Linked DNA regions of Nothobranchius furzeri. The protein of the gene in region 1 purifies or fractionates together with the protein of each later gene. This does not show direct contact. Links are inferred from orthologs where the notes say so. Each region holds a gene or a part of one and is shown on either strand. Other genes may lie near its edges.

Region 1 (4,157 bases):
TGAAAACCTGGTAGGATCTTGAGGTGTTCCTGCTTTTATAAACAGAACCTTTATTGTGTGGTTTTTGAAAACCGACTAAACTAAAAGGAGCTCATAGTGAAAACCAGTCCTCCAGTTCCCCCTAGTGGACATGTTAAACATTCATGATAATTAAAAGAGGCTGACATTCATCCATCCATTTGCAGCCGCTTATCCAGAGTCAGGTCACGGGTCAGGTCAGCCTAAGCCGAGGCCCAGACTTCCTTCTCCCCAGCCACTTGGGCCAGCTACTCTAAGGGAACCCTAAGGCAGTGCCTGGCCAGCTGACGCAGTCCCTCCAGCGTGTCCTGGGTCTTCTCCAGGTTGGATGTGTCTGGAAAGCCCCTCACTAGGGAGACGTTCAGGGGCAACCTGACCACATGGTTGCTTTATATAAATATGTTCCCACTTTCCTGTTGGACAATAGTGCTTTATTTTGAAACAAATGTTACGCATATGATGTCTTGCATGTTTAGATTTGTTCATAGATTCATGAACTACTGTTCAAAACTTTCCAATAATGTGGTAGAATGTAAATGTTCTTTTGAAACAACTATACAAATAAAACAAAATAAATTGTTACTGACTTTATTTAATATAAAAACCACCAGACCTCAGATCAAACCTCTCCTCTCTCTGACTACATCACTACAGATGATTCGTGAACATATTATCTTCTCCTTATGAAAAGACAAACAATAGAAGACATGTTGGAACCACACAGAACAACCGTGGCAGTGTGCTGCTGTAGAACCGGTATGAGGCCAAGAGGAGAAACTGCACGATGGGAGAATTAGTCCACTGTGACGCCTTCAGGCAGCTCCACCACTACAGGTGCACAGTCGTCCAAATCTGCATCGAAATCCCAACGAAACTTCTTGGTTAGGTGGGTTTTGAACTTCTCTGCCTTCTTTTGTAGGATCCCATCCACACCAGGTCCAGTGGCAAACTGGAAAAAATCCTGCAAGATAAAAAGTCGATTTAATAATCCCCAATGAAGAACACCAGTTTGAGATCAAATAGAAACAAAATATGGGACCCTAATTCTTGCTCTAGTAGATTTTCCATCTTGTAGCTGCTTAAAAATCATTTTGAAAGAAGAAAAAAAAATTGAAGACAGATTTTAAATGAAAATATTACTTAAAGACCTCGTTGAAAGGATTCATGTCCCCTGCTACCTTTTATAGTTTTAAATGAAGGCTGGAAATGCTGGAAAATGATGGATATCCGGTCTGAAATGTACAAGTTGTTTGTTACATTTATAAACAATTTAGGGTCACAAGAAATAAAAACATGATGTTTGTGCCTCTAGTGACAGCTCTTTTCTGATTCAGAAACATTTTGAATATTTCCCTAACATTGTGCGTGCAGCTGTTGCACATCTGCTGTACCTGCAGCGTGCTGGTGAGGAAGTTGTTCTGTGACACAATGTCAACAAAGAAGTCAGGAGGGACTTCTCCGAGCTGGTGGTAGAGCACAGTGATGAGTCCCAGATAGAGCTCCTTCCTCCTCCTCATGGCCTCCTCCGAGCGGCACAGCAGAGCCAGGAGGCTCTTCCAGTGCTCAAAGCCCTCGTACACATTCCCAATCAAGAAACACACAAAAGCAAACTGCAGCTCACCTGGAAGAGATTTGAGATTCAGATATTTAGTTGCATAGGCATTAGGCAGTTGCATTCTTGTAACAGTGCATTAATCTTTGTGACACAAACCAAGCAAGTTTAGAGGCTGGTTCTCGTATTTCTTCTCCAGAACCCCCTCCAGGGCATAGCTCAAGTCCATGCTGCATTTCGTGATCTCAGCTGGAGTAGCCCCAGGAGGGTAGGTCTTTTTGGGAATAACTGAAAAGCGCAGTTCAGTCCCTTCTCTGTGCTTCATTTTGGGAAGCCTGTCCAGTCCCTCTTTCATGCTCTGGCAGGCCGTGTCGTTCCTCGGCTGCTCTGCCCTGTCTTTTGTGTGTCTGAACTGAAGCTCGGGGACGACATCACTGAAGGCGCAGATTCGACCCGTCAGAGGCTGTAAGTCACTGGCCAGCTTCTCGCTGATGTGATCGGTGAGAGACACCCACTTCCTCATGACCTCATAGGGATAAGGGCCCAAGAAGGGATCCAGCTCCCGCAAAGTCCCCCGGATCCTGTTCACTTCCTCTTCATTCCTGGAGGCTGAGAAATCCAGATCTTCTTCTTTGGGATCCCAGTTGGCCAGGAGAATTTCTCTTGGTTTCAGGGTGAGGAAAAGACCCGTTTTAGGACCGATTTCTCCACCACAGCTTGGCGAGTTTACAGAGCAGTAATGGAGGAAGTGTAAACCAGGGGGGATCATCTTAACACCACGAAACCGAGGACCAACCTGCCAGCTTTTGCAGTCAATCCCAAGCTCGGTGCCCTGAGGAACACCCAGCAGAACCAAAGTAGCTCCTTCTTCAAATAACGACCAAGCAACATCTGGATCCATGTTCGAAGAGCTGCTGCTGGCCATCTTTGTTTACTACTAATCTACAAACTATATTTACTGAGAAACATGCGTAAATTCTCTCAGGTGCTACGTGAGCTGTTCATCATTCAAGTGTTTCCGTATTTGAACGCGAATGCTAATTTTAGGGTTTTAAAGTATCTTATTTAAGCAGCGAAGATTATCAATAAAGTAAAAAAAACTAATTACATTTCGAAAAACCCCATTTTACGGTCTACGCGTCCACTTATAAAAACAAACTGTACCTACAGTTACACTAGTGGACGTTCCAAACAACAACGCTGCTATTTCGTTTGCCGGAAATCTGTGTAACAAAATAAATGCTCAGGGTGGAAACAGTGTCTCATTAGAACAGTTCCGCTCTTTTGCACAACTTGGCCTCCAAGTTTTTCTTAATATATCTTTTTAGAAATTTAGGTTTGGGAAAATGAAGCAATAAAAAGATTTTAAAGCAGATTTTTTTCGCAGTGGCAGAATTGATGCTGTAATCGCTTTTGCTATGTAAAAAGCCCAACAATGAGCAAAACTCGCTAAAATAAATTTATAAGACTGTTTAAAAACTATTTATTTTATGTACTCAGGATTAACATTTTCCATTGCAGTACATTTATTTTACATTGCCCTTTAAATTAGTAAGATTATATTCTGGCAAAATTTCATTATAAAATGTTTTACTTATTATTATTGTCAATATTTATGTTGGACTGTTCTATGCAATACCCATTGGAAGGAGTGATTGTGAACAAGACTGATTTGGAAATGTCGAAAATATTTCAATTGGGTTTTTAGCTTAATAAAAAAGACAGCTAGAGGCTGCGAGTTCCTCTCTTGTTAACTCAGACATGTCATGTTTTGTAATAATTTACAGGAAGTGTTTGCGCTAATTAAATTTTTGTGATTGCTCTTTCTAGTCCTCCATCATCCCCAATAAGACAAAAATGGGATGTTTTTCATAATAATAATAATAATAATAATAATAATAATGATGATGATGATGATGATAATGATAATGCAAAAAAGTTTTTTTTAATTGAACTAGACTGTAGTTCATCTCTGTGCCACCAGAGGGCATTAATGTCCCATCTCCTCTTCTCTTTTAAAAGCACCAGTTCCTTTGAATTATTAAAAAAATAATTTGCAATGGCCTTTTGGAATTATCAAAGGTGGGACTCTCTAAATACTAACTAACATTAAGAAGAGAATAATATAAATTATTTTTGTTGTTTTCTTAATATTTTTATGAAGAAAATCTGACATTGAATTCACAGGATAACACACAGAGACACATTTACGTTTGACTCACAAACACATCACATGAGACTTTGAAATGTGCATAATGCTGAATATTTGCATTTAGCTTATTTGTGGTTACAATGAAACTATAACAACATAACAAGGAGCAATGCTAACAAATGCAGAAAGAGCAAGAACACTAATGAGAACTTAACATTCATGTTTATTATCAGCTATCTTTGCAAAAAGGGTCATATCACGGTGCTGTGAATATACTTAAACTGGTGTTTTTGTGAGAAGTTACCAGTCACACCAGACCCTACTTAGATTTGTAGCTGCTCTGAAGTTTTTGCCAACAAGTAATCAGTAATTTGATTATGTTGATGAATAATTTCCTCTTCCTCTTCTTTCCTTGTATTTTCCGAACAGTTGAGC
Region 2 (3,654 bases), on another chromosome or scaffold:
ACCCAGCAACATCACGTCAGACTTCCTGCAGGATGCAGCTGAGGACCGCTGATGGACACGTCCTCACCGCCTGTCTACACCTCAGGACACATTTCCTAGGATCTCACAACCAAAGGAGCTGGAGATGATTCACAGCTCATCATCAGGAGGTGTGGTCCATTCCATGGCCCATTTTCTGTGGCCAGAGTAAAATGACATCCATAAGTCTTATTTTTTTACAGCATCTCCGTCCATCACGGTGATAAAAGTCTCATCATTAGAGTAAAAAGTGGATGAACGACTCACGCTGGCAGAGCCGGAATCAAACCGATCACCTTCCAGATTTCAGTTCTTATTTTCTGCTCAAAAGATTCTGATGGGGAGAGAATAAAGAGGTGATTCAGAGCGCGGGCGTAGCGCCCGTTTAACCCCATGGGGCACCAGGCGGTGCCGTTTCCAGTCTATAAGACAGGAATTCATGGTGGTCCGTGCCGGCGTCGCCGCCTCAGCTCGGCTTAAAGAAATGAAAGAAAAACACGGGCAGGAGAAACGTGACTGATCATATGATGCAGGCCTAGAGTGGCTGGTTCTGCTTCTGCTGCAGAACTCCAGTCAGAGAAGGAGCTGCACAAACATTATTATGGGATGTTGAGGCTTCGGACAGGACCGGAGACGAGACTCAAACGTAGGCTCATAAATTGTGACTCAATCTGACTCGGTTTAAACATCAGACATCATCTACCCAGCTGATGCTTCCTGTTTTTGGAGACTCCGCCCACTTTGAATGACATCACCTGCATGTGTGATCCTTACTGTAGATGAAAAAAACATCCAAATGACAGAAATATCCTTGAATAAGCGACTTGATTTATTTTCTGGAGGGTTTTTCCATCTCACTCCTCTCATCAGACTGATCACAGATTAGCAGATTAACCAGATTAAAAACCAAGGATGAAAAATGCTTTTAAGTGTTTTTGTCGTCGGTCAGAACCAGCCGAGTTGGAGCTGAACTGGGTTCTCCGGTAAAAGAGAATTATTTCTGAGGAGAAACGGAGAATGGATTATCCCGACTGCACAAGCTCCGGCTGGTTCTCCTGGTTTAGGAGAACCATGCAGATGATCCTCCACTCACTCACAGCTGGTTCCTGTTCTGCTGCTGCGACCAGGAGGGAGTTTGTTCCCTCTGATGTTTTTAATGACTTTAGTTAATTTGATCACAATCAAAACGAGTCGGAAGAAACAGGAAGTCTGACCTGATCAGGACATAAATCACACTTTGACTCAAAACTTAGAGAAACGATGGAGAACATCATGAACTACTGACTTTTCCGGGCGGTCGTGAAGGCAACAGAAACGGAGAAGCTGGTCGCTGCTTTACCTGGATGTCTTTGTAGTTTTCCCTCAGGTCCATAAGGCGGTGGTACGCCCGGATTGCTTCTGAGAAGTCCCCGATGTCAGTGCTGACAACAAGGAAGTTCTCCCAGATCTGCCAGTGCTCGTAGTTACACTTCAGGGCCTCCTGCAGCGTGTGGAAGGCTTTGGTTCTGTCAGAGGAAACCAGGCAGATTCACTGAAACAGGACGCCAGAAGACTTAACATTTTGGTCCTGATCCAGATCACATGACCACAGTTCAGAGTCGAATGAAACCAGACCTTTTGTTCTGCTCAGCTTCTTCTTTACCACTGCAGTCCAGAGAGACACTCTTATCACTGACAAAGACCTGACCTGTTGGGCCACCTCTCCATCATTCCATCACCAAAGAACAAGACCTAGAGGGGGTAATGACCCACCAGAACCCTCTTGTCCATGACCCTGTCCTGCCCAGAAACGCCCGATGGGAACGAGCTCATCTTATTGCTGAGATACGGACTCTCAGTTCTTCAGGGGCCAGAGACGTCCCTCTCCGGTGGACTGGAGAACCCATGAAGGTCTGGTCCACTGTTCCATCTTTTATGCATTCATCATGTTAGACAGCAGCAACACACTACACTCAGACTAGCCGTTAGCACATCACTCCTGAGGGGTGTAAACTATTTCTGTCAACAGAGGCTGTCCAGGAAGCTAACCAGGGTAAGAAGGGAACCATTTCTGTTTTTACACAAACTTTATTCTCTAGAAATCCTGCAGGTGTTCAAACATCTAAAAACCAACAGAAAATGGGCAGAATCTGGTTTAAACCGGATCTCCAATGATCAGCTCAGGGATGAAGCACCTTGCAGGTCTCTGCTGGATTTGTTCCGGTTCCTTAATGACGTTCAGAACTAGCGGAGCGGCTTTAGGTTTTATTCTGTCATTCCCAGGTTTTCCGGTTTCCTCTACCGTTCCACAGACACACTGCAGCAGGTCACATGCTAGTGGCCTGTTGGGAATTGCCCCCAGGCTGAGCCTGCCTCATTAGCAGCTGGGTTTACTCCAACACGTTAAAAGATTTGTCCAATAACAAACACACACACACACACACACACACACACACACACACACACACACACACACACACACACTTACTTCATTTTGAGGCGAATGTAAGCCGTCGACAGGTTGTTCCACGCCTCTGCATTCTGAAGGACAGGAGGAGGACCAGGATGGGCCAGAAAAGTTCAAGGAAATGAGTTTGGCACATTAAAGAGCAAGTCACCCCCAAATCAACTTTATTTTTCTGATAAACTATACAAATGTGTGTCTAATCGTGCTGCAGACACGTGTAGTCAATAGTTTTGCACTTAAGTGCATTTTAGTTAAAATTTAAATCTTCTGCCTAAAACTGTCAGTGTTGTGCCGTTGTCAGGTAAAAACTCTGCACTGCATTTGAATTTAAATCTGCCATCGCTATTGGCTAAGAGGTATCCTAGAACGTTAGCTGGTACCGTATGATGTCACAATGTCGTTGTGAGCCTGTGTGTGTATTTGTTAGCAGCTCCGCCGTCTCGGTCTGCTAGGCAACAGCATTTGTTGCATTTTTCAAACAGGAAGTGGGAGTGGAGTAAGAATCTGGTAGGGGGTGCTGGGTTTCTCCCAGTGCTTTATAAGCCCGCCAGGCTAAGCGTCATTTCCCACCCTCCTCCCCGTCATGTCCCGCCCCGTCCCCCTCCCCGACCGTGTCCGCTGACACGAACGGCACAGCGACACTAGAGCCCTCCATCAGCTGTTACTGGTGAGAAACATCAGCGGAACGTGTGCACCCCCCCACCCCCAACGGCCGAAGCCGCTAGGCTTAACTCATTTTCTGGGGGAAACTCTGGGGTGACTTGCTCTTTAACAATAAGACAGAAGCTTTAGGTTTATAAAAGACTAAAAACGATGATTTCAAGTGTGTGTGTGTGTGTGTGTGTGTGTGTGTGTGTGTGTGTGTGTGTGTGTGTGTGTGTGTGTGTGTGTGTGTTCTTACGTCTGGCTCGAGTCCCACACACCTCTGGAAAGCTCTCGCCGCTCCCTCATAGCCTTCCAGAGTGATGTAGGCACATCCGAGGGAGAACCAGACACCCAGCTGCAGACAGAGGGACAGATGAGAGTCTACCCAAACACAGATTTCCTCCAGAGCTCTAAAAGCTGCTGGCTGGATTTAAAAAAACGTTTTTACTGAAGAACAAAGACAAATTTATTCAGCTTCAGTAACACCAGAGGTGGAGAACCTCCAGTTCAGCAGTTTTCTACGTGTCTCCTGGAAACCTTCATGT

Evidence for each region. The genes of interacting proteins can lie anywhere in the genome.
Region 2: the proteins of aar2 (region 1) and ttc27 purify together in Homo sapiens (affinity purification with mass spectrometry; 3 studies listed by BioGRID and IntAct, with this or other methods). This does not show direct contact. The link is inferred for Nothobranchius furzeri from reciprocal best matches to the Homo sapiens genes AAR2 and TTC27.

The regions. Positions count from the first base shown.
Region 1 is NC_091755.1:59,903,691-59,907,847, reverse strand, and holds aar2 (protein AAR2 homolog), read right to left. Parts: upstream 2,693-4,157; 5' UTR 2,496-2,692; coding exon 1,730-2,495; intron 1,640-1,729; coding exon 1,410-1,639; intron 980-1,409; coding exon 812-979; 3' UTR 591-811; downstream 1-590. UniProt on the Homo sapiens protein: Component of the U5 snRNP complex that is required for spliceosome assembly and for pre-mRNA splicing.
Region 2 is NC_091752.1:9,800,146-9,803,799, reverse strand, and holds part of ttc27 (tetratricopeptide repeat protein 27), read right to left. Parts: intron 3,465-3,654; coding exon 3,366-3,464; intron 2,539-3,365; coding exon 2,486-2,538; intron 1,524-2,485; coding exon 1,358-1,523; intron 1-1,357.